Drosophila melanogaster: one gene and its partners. The protein of the gene in region 1 interacts with the protein of each later gene in a pairwise test. Each region holds a gene or a part of one and is shown on either strand. Other genes may lie near its edges. The genes, in order: CG7991, bowl and maca.

Region 1 (5,819 bases):
TACACTGGGATTGGGATTGGTACTGGGATATCGGGATAGCTTTGTGATCGCTGCGCGGCCGGCGGTAATTACATAAACAGCGATGTCAGTGCGGTGACAGGACGGCGTCATCATCGCAGCCCAGGGAGCCCAGTGAATCTGGAGCTCGGCAACTGCGACTCGCAGTCGATCATCAATCGTGCGAACTTTCCAGGGGACCGCCCCCTCGGAACGCGGATATCACTGCGGTGGGGGCATCGCCGCCACGACCTGTTCCCAGATCCTCGCAGCCAGTGCTCGATGCTCGATGGCCAGAGAAAGAAACCAAACGGCCAGCCGAAAATAAAAGGGCCAAATCAGCGTGTAAGATGCCGGGGCCATAAATTTTAAAGTAATTTTCTCCTGGCCCCGAGTAATTTATGGGAAAATATTAAGCTGCCCCAAATACTCCACATCCAGATCCAAATCCAGATCCCAACTAGCGCAGACAACCTAAATTCGACCCCAAAAAACTAGCCAAATAGAGTAATTAAATCGGTGGCTGACCAGCTTCAATCCACTAGTCCTTGCTGGTCGAGGATCATTCCAGCTCATTCCCGATTCCCAGCTGAACCGGCTGAGTTATGGGCACCCCATCCTCCTGCACTTTGGGTCACGATTATCTGCATACGCAGCCGGCAATAATAATCTCAAAATTGGCGCACTTAAGCGAGGATCCTCGGCAGGCGTAATTTGAAAGTTATTTTGTTGCCGGTGCGGTGAAATTATTGAGCAATATGCTGATCTGTAAAATCATAAATAAAAATATTTGTACTTGACCGCAGCGGAGCCAGGGTTTTGCCCTGGAATGAGGATGGGAATGGGATTGGGAATGGGAATGGGCATCCACCTTCGCTCCATCTTCATCTCATCTCCTTCCACCCGGACGACTTTTATGTTATGTTATGAGGTGAGATCTTGGATCCCGGACGCGGGCTCCGGATGGCGAGTCTGCGCCCGCGGCTTAACGATTGATAAAGTCTTTTTATTTACAAGCTGATAATGATGGTGTAGGTGCAGCTTTTGGCATTGCGACGGTTTTCATGTAATTTATGAGCAATTTGCAGACAATTTTCGAGGTCCGAGCTCGTGGAATGCGCGGAAAGTGTAGGACTGACCCAAAGATGTGGGCTAAGTGGGTCTCAAAGGGGGACGCAGTCCGGTCAAGTGAAAGATCTACAAACGGAATTTATGGGAATTAAGCCACTTGCAAATGGAGTGCCCCAAATAGAGCTCGACTAAACTCGGTGAGAAACTCTCAATTGGAACTTATGTTTCTACACTTCTTACACAGTATATCTGTGGGTTTTGATTTATGGTAATTTAAATTGTTCCACCTTGCTCATCGTCTTAGGTTTCAGATAATTCTCCAGACACTGTTTACCATTCCAATCCCATCCAGCACGCTTCCACCGAAAGCCGAAAACTATTTTGTAATATTGATAACCATCTCGGCGGTGGGGAATGGAGCTCGGTCAGGCCATTAAAATGTCACAACAAAACGCCGAACTCATTTTTCGATGCGGCACTGGGCCACAAGCGACCATTAAACCTGCAACTTGATGGGCAGCTTCTATAAAAACAGAAGACTCCGGGCACGAACTAAGCGAACCAAATAGCCAGAAGTGTCAACTGCGGTATGGTAGAGCCAAGAACTCTGGGTAAGCCGATTATGGGCCACGACTTTCGGGAACGGAACGCACATAAAATAAATGTCGCTGGCAGAGATGTCCGATCTCCGGAATCGTGTTAGGCGTGCTCCGCGGCTCAGGAGGCGGGGCTACCCACTACTGGGACTACTGCTTTCATGTGGCGGTGGTGTGGATGTCACCTACTCCTACTCCTGCTCCTCCTCGTTCTGCCTGCGTTGTTATTGCTTGTGTCGCTGCTGATGATTGTCATTAACATCACATTACCACAAGTCAAAGTCATGTTTTTGATCCCAAATAAACCCCGAGAGCTCAGAACTGAGATACAGCGAATGAGACACATAGTCGGCACTTGGTTGGAAAGTTATGGAGCAGATGGGATGGGATGGGAGAAGACGAAGAGTAACCACAGGAATGTGGGGAAAAGGGACAGTTTTCAATGCGATGCTCGATAGCAGTTGGCCACCTTGTTGGCCATCGGGACAAATCTGTTATGACACCTGACTGCGGGCCATGGGTTTTCAAAGGAAGGAGAGGGATTCAAGTGGGGGATTAGGGTACAATGTGTTGACCACACTATAATCATATTGGTTAGTAAACCCATTCTTCCCAAGCCCCTTAAGACCATCAAATCTTTATCCGACTGATCGTGAATGTGTCAAATCTTTCCACTTCCATCCCAAGTGTTTACGCTTGAAACCAAACCTAGTGAGATATTATCTTCTACACGGCGATCTGCATAATTATGCTAAACACATTAAATCCATTCATAAATCTCTGGGCAATCGTCATCCACAAAGGGAACACCTCGGCGAGAATTTCGATGGCCAGATATGAGCTATTATTCATGTCCCGCGTGGCTCGCGCTCCCATTTGTATTTGTCCAAGTCTTTTGTGGGTGATGAAGCCCAGCGGGGTGAATTTACGATCTTGGCCAGGGAAGCACTGAAATAAAATCAATAAACCAGTCGCTGGGCACAGCCAGAAATAATGCTTAAGATGCAAATTATGCAGATGAGTCGAGGCCAAAATATTCGAGCTTGTCACTGGACCGAAAATCGAAATTCACCTGCCCGGCGAAATCATATTTCTTGTTGCCCAATCGTTGGAGGCGTGGTCCCGTCCCCCGTCCCCCATTACCACCATTCCCACAAACTTGGCCATATAGAAACGGGGACTTACTCGAAGAGCTGCTCGATCGCTGAAGACGCCTCTTCCAAAACAACATTGTGTTCCTCCTCTTTTGGCGCTGATAAGATCGTCTGCTGATTGGTTTCGTTATTTCGTTATGTGATCACTGGCTATGCGGGTGTGGGTCTATGGCGAAATGATCCCTCTCGCGGAGCAACACAGCTGATTAGCATAAACTTCGAATCACTCAGGAACCGAGCTCTCCCGAATTGTATCTTTCAGATACAGCCACGGCTGAATGGCAACTGCACTTGCCCAACGCGCACAACAAATTGAGACATTAGCAGCCGGCCAGCGAGGAAAGTTATGACCCGAGCTATGTGGAGTGGTTTCAATTCGTTTTTTCCCTCAGGTGTCTCAGGTGTCAACTGGAGGCGAGGTGTGCTCAATTAGCCGCCCGATTTCAGCACTTCCGTTAAGCCGAGCAACTCGGACTTCTGGCCCGCTCGACGGTTAATTAACGAATAAAAAGTCGCTCCGCTGCCTCGAAAAAAAACCTCCGAGCTCGACTTGAGCTCGCTCTGCCGCCAGCTCTTCTCGTCTGGCGCGCTGGCTCGCTGGCTCGCTGGTCTTCCGCGCTCCCTGCCACAATGGAAACGAACTGAAAATGTGTTACACCGAAACGCCGGGCGGCGCAGTCGACGCTCCGAAAGGGGCAGTCGTCGCACATTGGGGCCAGTGGGGACATAAAACAGGTGTAAGAAGCCCAGACGATCTGAATGCGAGCGACATATGGCTAATAGCCAGCCCATGGGCTGGATCGAGATGGAGATGGCGCGTTTTATGGGTTTCCAGGGTGCGGACACAATTAGATGTTCGTAAAAAGTGGCGTTTTATTTCACTTTTCAAAACAGGGTCCACTCCGCAGACTCGTTTCTTGCGGGCTGGCGACAAAATTATTAATTATCTCACAAACACTGGACAAACATGGCTAACAACTGGCTGGAGTTAAAAGGTAGTTACATCAGTGGTATCAGCTTGCTTACAAGCTGGGTTAGTCCATTAAAAAGCTATCACAGAACTGAGTCTTAAACTTAAAGTGTAATTTTAAAATATTATTAATATTTTTCAACACCTCAAAGATGTAATTCAGTGTGGCGCTGACTGCGCAGTCGCCGCCGGCGTCGCAGTTGGCGTCGCGTTGGTGGCGGTTCACTGAATTTCGCTGACTGTAGGTGGTTGTTGCTGCCCCCAAAATGTGTAACAGCAACAACAAGAGTCTGGCCAAATCGGCCAACAACAACGATCGTTGGCTCGTGCAGAGTTCAAAATGCACGCAACCTGCAAGACAGGCGACTATTGTTTATAGCCCGCTTGGATTTGTTTTTTTTTTTTTGCTCTTAACTCTTTCTTTTCGCTGGCTGCCTGCACATTTATTACTTAACGCTTTGATGCGTTGACGGTTTGATGGTTTGTTCTTCTTGGCCATCAGTTGCCCGCTTGCCGTGTGCCCCTCCGTTTGACATAGTGCACTTGGCCATATTCGCTCGGTTTGGGCCCCCTCATCATCATCGTCATCGTCGTCGTCGTCGTCGTCGTCCTCATAATCAGCCCTCTTTTTTGCTATATGTTCATCAAGCGAATCAGCGTAGCGAAGCATAAAGCCAAATTAACATAAACAACTTCTTTTCGACTTCCATATCTTCTATACACGGAAAATCGCTTTGATTATTACAAGCTATCTTCAAATTAAGATTGTCATATTTATAGTTTGGGATTCATGTTGAAATAATTTCTCTGTAGATACATTTCTTTGCTGTGAGCACTTAACCTAATCATATTTCATTCTTAACCCGATCTTATTTTCGTTCAGTGTGCTGCACGGCTTGCTGCTCTCAATCGCCCACATGGCCAAGTGCTCCTCCTCATCCCATCTTTTGCCCATTTCCTATGCGGCTATGTGGCGGAATTAAAGACCTTTTTACCATATACCATCTAACTATTTTCCGTCTGCTATTCTTCTACTGTCTAATTGGAATATGAATACGAATTTCATTTGTTGGTAGTTTGTAGTTTGTATTTTGTAGTTTATAGTTTGTTTTGCTTTTCTCCGGTTGGGGGATTTTTCTTGTGACAGGTCAGAAAGCCGCGCAAATTATTGGAATCACTAAAGGTAATGATCCAAATTGATGTTAGACTATGGTGGCTTCATCTTCATTGCACAACTGGAACTACATTCATATTTAAATATACGTTTTTGCTTACCAACCCACTTATTATGCACTTTTGTTGCGCGATTTAAATGTGAGTTATAAATATTTATGGACGCAATGAGTGCAGTCATGTGTGAGCCTGCTAATGGAATTCCGTGTTGCAATCGGAGTGCAACTACAGCACTTGGTAGTTATGGCACCCATATATTGTATCCACCATTGTTGCGTTGCCATGTCTGCACACGCAGTAAACAAGTTGGGAAATCGGCGGCACGCGCTCATTCAAATTAATTGAGAAGGATGTCGCGACCTTTGAGGAAGGATTACCGCACCGCGGACTTCGAGCAACTGAGCAGGATGATTAGGGACCATCCGCTGATGAAGGAGCCCGGAGCGGAGCAGCAGCAACTCCATAAGCTCCGTACGCCGGAGTACCGAACGAAGTGCGTGATGAGAGCTTCCTTGGATGACATTGCCTTGGGGGTGAGTGCCTATCATCCTTAATGTCCAAAGAAATCAAGCCATACAGTATGTTTATTCGCCAGATCAATCTTTACAAGCTGCAGCTGGACACGCCCATGTCGCCCACTCTGGAGGAACCGAATTATCTGAAGGAGCCTGCTTCCTCCGCCCGCTCCGCCCACTCCGCCCGTCCTCCAGCCACGCCCTTCATCAAGGTGCTGCTCCGAAAGACTCCCATCGTGGTGCTATTCGAACGGCGCAGCATGACCGCCTTGGCGGACACGGAGGAGGGTCGCCAGGTGATGGAGGACAACCGGAAGTACGACGAACTGCTCTCGGGAACGGA
Region 2 (5,819 bases), on another chromosome or scaffold:
TTCGAACTAAATCCATTCAAAAATTTCACCCTTGAATAGAACTCTTAAGATCTTTTGTTGGTCGGATTGCTACTTTTTCAGGCAATCTATTGTGTTATAATTTCAATGGGTCAATTCTTATTTATTGGAAGAGTTTATGCTAATAAGTGTAGAAGCACTAAGACTATGATTTATTAATTCAAATGCAATTGGATTATGCTAATTGCACACAAATCTTGGTACAAATTATTTATATATTTTTTTCTTCGACAACTTTTGGAACCCAGCCCAAAACTAAACATGTAAACTGATAATCACCTTTCCGCTGTCTGATTTCATTGATAGCATTAAAAATTCATATTCCCTAGACAACATCTAATTTCCCCATCAAAATTGATGAGTTCCCGTTCCAGAACAACAATAAATGAACTGGTCTATCAGGTGAATTATACACACGTGCCAAAACGAGGCGTGTCCATATAGCCATTTCAATTTAAAACCCGAATATGGCGATCCCTAACGAGCCATTGTTCTGCGGTTTTATGGTAAATCTAAATTCATCAAGTATTTTGTCACGATTTTAATTAATTTCGATTTCAATTTTCCTGCCACAAGGCAATTACCAGCAACATTTTCCCCTGCTGCTGGTGCAACCGAAAAATGATAGTTGGTGGCCCAAGATGGAGAGGAAAACCCACCCAAAGAGGTAAAGCGTAATAAACTTTTATGGTACTCCCTTTCTTATGCTAAAACTCTTTTTGGACACAAAACCAAATGGCCCATAAAGCAAGACAATGAATATCCAAAATAGATCTCCACTGAGGCGAAACAAAAGCCAATAACTTTATAGAACCGCAACCAAAAAATACAAAAAAAAAATAATAATAACTCAGACTGTGAGAGCGCGGGAGGCGTTCTACAAAAAAAAAGCTTAAAAATGAAGGAAAAAGTAAAGCATTTAAAAGAAATCAAGAGATGTAGATGACGATGATGATGATGGTCTGAGGTTGAGGCTGAATCCGAATCCGAATCGGTATCTGAACCCAACAGAAGCTTGCGGCAATTGCGTTTCCTCTTTGGCCACACGTTCTGGACAATTAAAGCCCCAGCCGAGCTCCGAATCTGAATCGAGCCAAGTTAAGACAGCGACCACGACCGAAAACCGAAAACAGAAAACCAAAAAAACCGGATTCCAAGCCGAGAAGGAGCGAAAAAGACGGCGAGAGCGACCACTGGCCACTGGCACTGGCTACAAGTGAACTGGTTTACAAAGAAAAGAAACAGAAATGAAAGAAACATGTGAAAAATCACGATCTATAAAGCCGATGCACTTAATACCCTAGGCAAAATAAGTAAATAATACTATAGATCAAACTAGAGTAGACTTGTTGAAAAAAAAACACTGGAATAAATAAGAAGCTTATAAACTATCAGCTTATTAAACTAAGTTTGCCTAAATTTCGTAAAATATATTTTTAAAACCTAACGCGATGCTTTGAAATTCTGTAAAATTAAAGTTTTTCAGAAATGTAACGTTATTAACACCGATTAATATTTTTAAATAATATTTTACAAATTGTGTACACCATTTTCAAACGAAGTACCCTTACCAAGAGCACCCATAAGAGACCCCCAGAATTCCAAGCGAAGGTTTTTCGAGTCCGGCTCGAACCGACCAACTCGAACTGAGCGCCACAGCAACAACAATGGGGCAAGCGGGTGGTTCAGGATGGTGGGGAAGTTTGCGGGGGGATGGGGGACGTACTCCACCGTGGACTGTGCGGCACCACACTGAGTTCAGTGGCAATGACAGTGGCACATGCAGTTGTAGTGGAAGCCGCTTGTCGGTCGACAGTCCGCCAACCGCCAACGTTGTTGCGCTCTCTTTCCTGTTTTTTCGCCCCGTCTCATTCTATTTGTGGAGCAGGTTTTGAGATATATCTTGGGTCTTTCTCTCTCTCTCCTTCTCTGTCTGCGTACTCGTTATATTTTTGTACTCGCTGCCTTTTTGGCCAACGCAAAAAATACCAAAATAAAAAAATAATAAACGTAATTAGCTAGCCCTACGCCACAAACAGAAAACAAAAAAAAAAACAACAAAAAATAAAACAAGTAAAAATAAGTGGTGTGGAATTTTTGTGTTCATCTGGGAAGGCAGGGCCTGTTCTCGGCGGAATCTTACCTGTGGGTTAAACAGAAGAAAGCCCCAGGCTCTTTGGGCTTTATCTTTGCGTCCTAAAGTATCCAAGTAGTTGTTTCAATATGATTTTGCTGGTTTTTTGTCAGTTTGTAAGCTTTGAAATGCTTGGCATTGTTTTTGGTTTTTAAAGTAGTAATTTATATCATTTAAGTGGCACTTGAATTGTATGTTGTTTTTTCTTGTTGTATTTGTTTGAAGACTTCTGTTAATACGATTCTGTGAATTTAAAAGTAAATAATTTTATTAAAATTTTCAAAATATTTGTCGGAAATTTTTTGTTATATTTTCAGGTTTGATTTTAATTTTAACAAGTATTTCACCGAATCATTCTCAAGTAAATGTATTTAAAAAAACACGCACACTAAGGGACAATTTTGAGATTCAAATCACGGCACGATCGCCCCAGGGGGTGGGGCTGAGGGGGCGGCAGGGGGGCGGTTACGGGAGCAGCAGCAGCATCAACGGCAGTCAGCTACCACAAACCACGTAGTTTTTTTCCTTCCAAAATCCACGTACAACTCGCGCACAAACACACGATGTATTTGTATCTCACAGATATGAAAACCGAACGAAGAAAAACCCGAACCGAAACCTCAACCTCAACGAACTGAAAACCGAACGAGAACGAGAGATACACGGCAGCTGAAATGTGTTTTTCTACATTTTGTTTGAAATAGGAGCTGAAGCCAGTGCAGCTACCAATTCGCTCCTCAAGTAGTCCCAAACTCTTCCCACACACAGAGTCAGTTGCAGTTGAAAAGCGCTTTTCTCGAGGCAACTGGCGATGCAACAAGTTCACTCACACACACACACACACTAGCGCTCTGGGCCCGCTCAATAAGATACATCGGCGGCGAAAGATACAGATAGATATAGAGCGAGAGGCACTCACAATGCAGTTCACTTTTCCAACAGCTATTACCAGCGATCCGCGCGCAGGTGCGTTGGCCACGATCAACTCTCGAAGACTGAGCCACGAACCCAAGAAACAGGGCCCGAATGGAAAAAGAGAGAATCGAGAGAATCGCGGGCTGAGAAATGCGTAGAAAGAGACAAGCGACGAGTAGCGAGCAGTGGCACTAAAACCAGCTTAGTGCACTGTGGAAAAAGTTTTAACAATTCTTAAATATCTGAAGAGTAAGGCTCTAATTTTCTGTAAATAACAACAGTATAAATCTATCTGCTTAAATATACTAGATAAATAATGGATGCATTTACATATTTTTCTGAATTAACTAGTAACTTATATTCAGTTTGAATATAGTACGACATTTCTTTCAGTGGAGGAGAGGAATTAAACCGAACTCAACCCAAACCCAACCGGCCGCCAGTCGCACGCTGCTAAATGGACGGATGGGCCCGTGGACGGACTTATATGGAGACTGGCACTGGCGGAGCGTGGAACGTGCATTCGTACGACGAGTTATTGTCAGTTAGAGCGCTACCTGTTTACCGACCGACTACCGACTACCACCGACTGCTTTTTTTTTTTTGGCCCAGTCGAGAGGGTAGGGTACAATTGGCCCGGGTGTTGCCAGATTGCCGTTGCTGCTGCTGCCCATGGATCGTTATGGTGGCTTCACCCGAAAAGGAGGAGGAGGGTGTAACTCTGGTAGTTCCCTGTTTATTGTTATGCCTTTTTAGTGGGGGTGTATTTTGTTCTTCGGCTTTTGTTGCGGTTTCATTTAGGGGAATGACTAATCAGAAAGCATTTTTAGGGAGGCAAGGTGATAAGGTTTCTTCGAAGAAGGGGTTGCCAAGTCGAAAGTTGGGGTGAAATAAAGTGCATTACTCACACGACTATATATCTATATTATGACAAGTTCCAATGTTCTACTGATAAGTAAATATTTATTTGGAATAATTAGTTGGTAGCTTTAGGGAAAAATATTTATACATATGTATTTAAATATACACTGATGATTAATCGGCAGCCGAGTTATACAATTCATTTATGGAAATAGGTCGTAAAACAATATAAGTCTAGAAACCATCTTATCGCCAGACTGACTTTTATTAATGGTAATTAGTCCTTATAAAAGAAGGCGAGCACGGGAACTTGGAAAAAAATAAAACATAGGTAAATGATTGATTCGAGCTAGGCTATGTAAATAGGTCTTATATTATTATAATAGACTGTAAAATTTCTATTCTAACAATCTGGCAACCTCTGCTCGCAATGCAGCATCAATGCGGTCAAGTGGTAAAAGAAAAGACGTTAACAAAAAGACCAAAAATCAGCTAGGGTCCCAAAAGTAGAGGGAGTTACGTTTCGGCCACGACGGTGATCATGGTCGTAATGATTCCGAGATGCAGAAAAGAAAAACCCGAAAAGTACCCAACAAAAGAGAGTCCGTAGCCATGTAATTAAGGTGCTGCACAGTGGAACTAAATTGTGGCTGCTGCCACTGCAAAAACAGTAAGTGGAAATGGAGATACAAAGCGGCAACAGGCAGAAGACCAGAAATAAGTGGTAGAAAAGAGAAGACGGAAAAACGGTAGCTGCCTCATAGGGCGAGCGAATTGTTATGCTAGTCGTCGTCGACTTCCCCCATCAACAACTGTTGCTCTTGCTGCACTCGGAAAATAATTTTCAGCATATATAAATAACAATAAGTAAATAAGAAATAAAATAAATAATTACCATAATTGGTCTCCCTTATAATTGGATTCCACAATACATAAAATTGAAATTGACTATTGTTTAATAATAATATCTAATATCTAACCCTTACCTTGCTCTTTTTGCTTAAAATAAAGATGTACAAATAAGATATATATGCTAATGCGAACCATAAGATCGTTGTGATTTTTCTGAGTGCCCGTCGGTTGAAGTGGCTTCCCTCCTTGCATATTTTGCATCGCTTTACGATTTTAAAATAAATTACTTGAAATTTGTGTAAAACATGTGGCCAACTCGGAGTTCAGCTGGTAGTTTGTAGCTAGAGGGCCAAAAGCAACAGGTTCATTGATCGCATTCGAAATGCTTCGTTGGCCCCAGCAGGTAGCTGGTGTGTTTGATACTTTTGGGCTGGGCCTGGGACCATATCCGAATCTGAATCGGGTTCCAATGGGAATCGGATCGTTGAGCCAAATTAATGATGTTTAGATGCATTTCAATGCCCCCGGGCTGTCAGCAAGAGGCACATTTGTCATTTGTTCTTGGTATATTTTTTATTTAATAATTAAAGCTCTTATTTAGTTTTCTTTTTTCCTTTTTCTGTGTTAGGTTTTTGCTGTCTCGTTTTCCACTCGATGAGTAACAACATAAAATGGCTGACTCTTATGTATATATCATATAATCATCATAATGCATAGATTTATTATCTAATTTTTTACGCCTCGCCAAATTGGAAATCTCTATTTAAAATATATAAAATATATATTTATATATATATATTCGTTACCGTATTAATAAAAACGAAAAGAAGCTTCAAAATTGTTGCATCCTCACTCAATCTCGGTATTTGAACACTGACCCAAAAAAACAGGAAATCAGCATTTTAAAGATCATATCTTTATATGACAAAGTAACTACTGGATTCCGAATTAATCGCTATTATATTATTGTTTGACCTACTATGAACGTTGTAATGTGTGTGTGTATGCTTGTGAATGAATGTGTTTCCTAAAAAAAATC
Region 3 (5,738 bases), on another chromosome or scaffold:
AAGCATCCAATATTCCAGCTTCATTTACTAGAACTCAATAGATTACACATTGCAGGCGAGTGAACCCTGTAATGGCTATCCATTACCGGGGACCTGCAACGGTCAACGTCAAACCCCAGGCCCAAGAAACTCCCTTGGAATTACGCTGATGACTCAATGTGTTCCTTGGGGAGGAGTAAGTCCTTCCCCCCACTGGAAATGATATTCGGAAGCTGGACAACTTTTAATGCCTGCTGTCGATGGTCATGTGCATAGCTCATTAGTTTTTGCCTAATTTGAAAGGCAGCCGTTCCCTTCCTGGCCTAATGGAATTCAATCAATTTCCATTTATTTCGATAGCGAAAGTCGCACCACCGAAGGACCCAATGAGGGCCACAAAAGTGAGGTCCAGAGACGGGAACTGAAAAATTTCTTAATTATCCTGACGTGACGCTTGTGGGCGTCTTGGTTGACAAGCTTTTTAGCCTCCTCCGCTTTTCCTTCCCCTGCCCATTTGTGGCCAGTCTGTTTTCCTAATGCTCGCGGACAAAGAAAGACAAATGAGTCGGAATCACTGCGGGAAAATTGTGGAGTAAAATACTTTAAGACTGGCAAAAATTGCACCGAAAGTCTGCGAATTGAAGGCTTTTCTTAGGATTGGAAATAATTTAAACATAAAACATTTTATAAAAACTTCTGTTGAAAACAATATGCCACAAATGTCAATAAGACAATACAACACGAGGCAAGATGGAAAAAGGAAATCCCCGAAACACTCGCAGCCAGAACGCCAAGTAAAAAAAAGGAATGAAAATGATGAAAAGCGTATAATCTGCTTATCAAGAGGCTGCAGCCCTTTTTCTTGGAGGTCTCCTCCTTTTTTTTCCTAACGCAACTAGGGAAGAACTCAACTGTTCCAAGAAAAATGAAATGAAAACTGTAAACAAAAGGGATGTGAAAATTTGATTTGCATTTCCAACACAAGATGAGACTGGAACTCAATTGTTCTCATTTTTAGGTTTCATTATGCTTTGTTGTTTGGGTATATACACACATTTTTCATAAAATTCTAGTTTTTACAAAGCGAACGATTTTCTCTAAGCTTTAAACAACTGATTTTCTTTAAAATTTTATGTATTAAGCGTGCTTTTATGCAAAATAGGAAGTCCAGGAGGCACATTAATTCAAAAGAGCAACACAACCCATACAACCCTATATAAAAATGTAGTTATTGGCAAAATCCTCCATATTTTATTGCCGAATCCAACCCAGAGTTTATGTAACTTCATTTAAACTGTGACCGTCAAAAGTGCATACCACAGTCGTGCATGAAGGGTCCTTGTAAAGCAAAATCTGTAAGTTAAATCTGAACTGGAACCAGAGACTGAAACAAGAGCAGCAGTCGAAGGGGATACCAGCTGGGTAACCGGAGGAGGAGATACCGATTCCGAGATGCAGGGGCAACTTTGCGCCTCAATTATAATGAGAAAAGCAAACGAATTGGAAATAATTTTCAATTCACTTGTTTCCCACCTACTTTCGTAAGTCGTTTCGGTTCATTCGGTTTGCGATCTTCAAATATTTATGCGCCCTTTGTTTTCATTATTTATTTGAACCGCCAATCCTTTGCATGCATCCCGCAATCGAAATCAAAACCCGAAACCGAAACCGAATCGGACGCTCCGCACCTTTTTTGGCCAACTGGTGGCCCCTGGCTAAATCGAGGTTACCAGGCGACTGATAAAGCTGTTAATGCTTTTTAGGAGCCGAGGATCTCATGTCCGTAGGAGTGGCTTGTTTGCGAACGATAAGCCCAGCTCCTGCGGCAATTTAATGAATTATTTATGTAAGGCCAAAATCAGAGGGCAGCCAAATGCATAACCGAACGAATGCGTTAAGACCAAAATTAATTGGACCGGACTACCTAAAGGAAATTGAGTATACGACAAAAGTGCAAAATCACAATTTGTTCTTCAGCTGAGGTTTAAAAAAAGGTGTTCCTTACAGGTTCTATATATATATTAATCAAATTAATCAGCAAGTTCTATCAAAAATACGCATAATGATTAGTCCGAATCTCGAGAACGCTTAGACACATGATGATCGTTCGTCCTCTCGCGACGCTTGTAGGGTGGTGGGGAAGATTTACGCTTGTCCTTATACTGGGAGCCACTGGAGGTAGAACTCGAGCCTTTTTTCTCGCGCTCCACGAACTTGACCGTCAGGGGCCGGGAGGCGCCTTCGATCATGTACCGATCCATGCCGTACTTGGCCACCTCGGCGTCGCGGACCAACTCAAATTGCAAGAAGGCCACGCCACGGGACCTATTGTTGAACTTGTGGCGCAGCAAGTTCACATCCACGATGTTGCCGTAGGTGGCGAAGAGTTCTCGTACCTTCTTCTCATCCATGTACGTGGGCAGGTTCCCCACGTACAGGCTGGAGCTGGTGCTTTCATATTCCGAAGGTCGGGCGAAGGCCACTTTCAGTCGCTTGCCGCGAGTCTCGTAGCCATCCATGCCATTCACGGCAGCAGCCGCCTGGCGTTCCGACACGTAGTCGACGAATCCGTAGCAACAGCTTATGCCAGTCCTGCGGTGGCGGATGATCTTGGCCTTGCGGATCTCACCGAACTTGGAGAAGAGACGGTGCAGCTCAGACTCCGTCATGTCCTGCGGAAGGTAGTTGAGGATCAGGTTCGTCTTCATCCGCAAATTAGGGAGAGGAGGGGGCGGATCCACTGGTCTTCCAGTTTGGAACATGCCGCGTATCCCGGCGTATCCCCAACATAGCGTCGGGACGGATGACTCCTTCTTGGTCATTTTCTCTGCGCTATAGATAGAAGCAAAGGTGAAAGATGACCGCAGAGATCTTATGCTTTCTTCGGAATGGGATCCAAATGAAACACTTGGCGTAGAAAATTTTAGAATGATTATAATATCCCAAATTGACTGAAAATTCTAAAAATACTGCAAAGCTGCCCTTCCAAATGTTAAAAGTTTTTTTTCAGAATGTGTTTGACAATGACTTCCATGACAAACAGGATAGCTTTGGTCAACAATTACTTGGTTATTTACCAACACTAATACATTTATACTTTTGTCAACTTACGTGGTGTCAAGAGTTGGCTGCCTTGAATTGAACTTAACTTAAATTCTATTTGAATAAATACAATAAAACTTCATCTGCATTAAAGAACTATTTAACACATAAATACGTATGCAAATTAAATAAATTCCGCCTTGCGAAATCGCTGATTTGGCTGAGAAGTTTGCGTGCCAAGACAAAATGAAACCCTTTATGTGCACAAGGTGCAAAAGTTTTTGAAAAGTTTTCCAGCTGTTTATTTATTTGTTTGCTGATTATGGAATTTCGACATTGCGATTCGAAGGTGGAGCACTGCACAGAGGAATGTAAAAAGTGTGCAGGTGAAAATTAAATTGGATACGAGTATTGTGCGATTTGGGGAACCGACATGGCACTCGAGGCCCATCGATTGGATCATTGAATGTTCCTTTGTTTATTGCCAAAGTAAACTTGTTCATTATTTCTTTTTGTTTTACTTAGCCTCATATTAATTAATTTCCATTTCCGTTTCGTTTATCTTGGCTACGCCGATTTTTACCTTCATGCTGACTAGACAATTAATCAAGTTTAATTACTCGACTGCTGTGGGAGGAGGCCAGCTCCTTATCCTAGTCGGCGACTCCCCGGGGACCAGCGGATCCGCATTTGCCCGATGTGGTGGCCATCTGCATTAATCACTTGAATATGCTTTCATTTCTCAGCGCCATGTGTGGGGCAGAAGGGCAGGAGTGCAGAAGCGTCCAGAAATGGTCAGGACTCGGATAAAACCCGCCATTAAAAGACGGCGCACGTAGAAATACATTCGGATGAGGTGGGTCGTTTACATATTTTCACAGCGAAAAACGTTTCTGACTGGAATATTGGGACTATTTAAAAAGCCTATTTCGGTCTTAACAACTAATTATTACTATGCATATAGGCTTAAAGCTGTTTAACCTGTTTTATTTTTTTATTTTATCATTCTTAACTTTCTTAGCTTACTTTGTCATCACCCAACTTAGAATTATATAAATCAATTAATACTAATAAAAGTTTTATTTAATGCTGTCTCTTGGTACGTTTCCTTTTTGACACGCACCATGAACTATTTTCTTCATTATACAAGTGAACGTTAGGTGCCGCCACTGTGCCACGTAGAATAAATGTAGTTAACATGTCGATAGTTATGGATGGCTAAGTGGTATTTATATTGATCACATAAAAAAATTAAATTGAAAAACATAGCTGCGCTTTCAATACAAATTTTATTAACTTTACACAATAAAAATAGTTACTTCATAAATTCATAGAAAGTGATTCATGCATGTAGGTGCTACATGGTTGGCTAACAAAGGAGCTTCGTCTCGAAGCAAGTTACTAATGATAAAAATGTTATACATGTCTTGGAGGATCACACAATAAATACGCAAGTTCAGTTTTACTACGAACTCTAGGTGATAACAGTGATTGTGGAAAACGTTCATAGGCGATATGAACTCCATTAACTAAAAGTTAAGCCTCAACTCTACAGAATGCTACGGTACACTTTAGATTTAATCTCTAGTAGGGCCCTTAGACTTCTTTTGCATCAATGATCTCGAATTGCAGGTCGTACTGCTGGTCAAAGCCCATAAGGCAGTCGGACATTAAATAAAGCGTAAGCTGTAGACGTCCAAGTCGCGGAGTTGCCTGGAACGAAATGCGGTTGGTGCAGCGCTGTCCGCGAATGGATACACGCTTCATGGCGAGGAGCTCGTCGTTGGCCTGGGAGCCCAGGGTCAGGAACCACGCTTCATTCTTGGGCTTTGGATACTTGGGGCAGTGCACCGTGTAGCTTTGTCCACCACCTCTTCGCTGTCCACTGACATTAAGCCGCTGCAAGTTTACTATGAGAACGTAGTCCTCATTGGCATGCAGGGACATCCATTCGCCCCTCGTGTCATCAGAAAGTGAGAGCGGTCGCTTGGCATACTCATTCTCCATATGCCGACCCTCTACGAATATTTGAATTGCTATCTCGGGCAAGTCTTGGATTACCTGGAAATGTTTAAAGTACCATTTGAATATCGTTCAGCAATTTGGTTAATTCGAATCGTACCTTATACATCTTTTCGATCTCGTGCTCCTCGAAGGCATCTCGCAGTGGCTTCGCCAGTACTTCGTACTCTTGTTTGCACAGCTCCTTCAGCACGGGTAGTGTTAAGTAGTCATAGTCATCGTGTGGTATGTTCAAAAAGGCATCGAGATTGTCCTCGTTCACTCCTGGCAACGTTAGGAACTCACTACCGTCGAACCATCGGGCCTGAATGACGCTCTGCATCAGTTGCTGCACAACCAGAGTCGTCGAGAGCCATCCCCGCTCCGCTGTGTAGTCCACCATGGCTTGCATCACTCGAGTGGCGTTGTCCAGAGCCGACTTTGTGTCTGTTAGGTAATCCGAATTCGGAAGGGACTGCCGTGCAAAGTGGGCCTGGAGTAGCAGGAAAGTCTTGGTGTACGAAGAATCCCAAGACGATGAGGGCGGTCTAAAGCGGCTTACTTCAGCCATTTCCTCATTGTGCTTATCCTCGTTGTGCCGAACAGGCAGCTGATCAAATTCATAGGAATCGGCTATGGCGAGGAGAACTTTCTTGGTGTTCATGCCAGGCTGCAAATCCTCCAGGAAATGCTTCATTGTGCGGTACGACAGGTAG

The links.
Region 2: the proteins of CG7991 (region 1) and bowl interact in a two-hybrid assay, tested with the Drosophila melanogaster proteins (one large-scale study listed by BioGRID).
Region 3: the proteins of CG7991 (region 1) and maca interact in a two-hybrid assay, tested with the Drosophila melanogaster proteins (one large-scale study listed by BioGRID).

Annotation. Positions count from the first base shown.
Region 1 is NT_037436.4:1,672,198-1,678,016, reverse strand, and holds the start of CG7991 (uncharacterized protein), read right to left. Parts: upstream 3,309-5,819; 5' UTR 2,896-3,308; coding exon 2,850-2,895; intron 1-2,849. Other genes in the region: CG13930 (uncharacterized protein), read left to right, coding at 5,312-5,494, 5,557-5,819.
Region 2 is NT_033779.5:3,769,037-3,774,855, reverse strand, and holds the start of bowl (brother of odd with entrails limited), read right to left. Parts: upstream 3,157-5,819; 5' UTR 2,983-3,156; intron 2,937-2,982; exon of another isoform or gene 2,841-2,936; intron 2,831-2,840; exon of another isoform or gene 2,540-2,830; intron 2,396-2,539; 5' UTR 2,162-2,395; intron 1-2,161. UniProt on the Drosophila melanogaster protein: Putative transcription factor. Required for leg joint formation, acting downstream of Notch to pattern the leg tarsal segments. Functions in the terminal pathway during embryogenesis, acting downstream of tll in the posterior of the embryo.
Region 3 is NT_033777.3:15,491,865-15,497,602, reverse strand, and holds maca (maca), read right to left. Parts: upstream 3,002-5,738; 5' UTR 2,802-3,001; coding exon 2,046-2,801; 3' UTR 1,983-2,045; downstream 1-1,982. Other genes in the region: obe (obelus), read right to left, coding at 4,618-5,082, 5,144-5,738.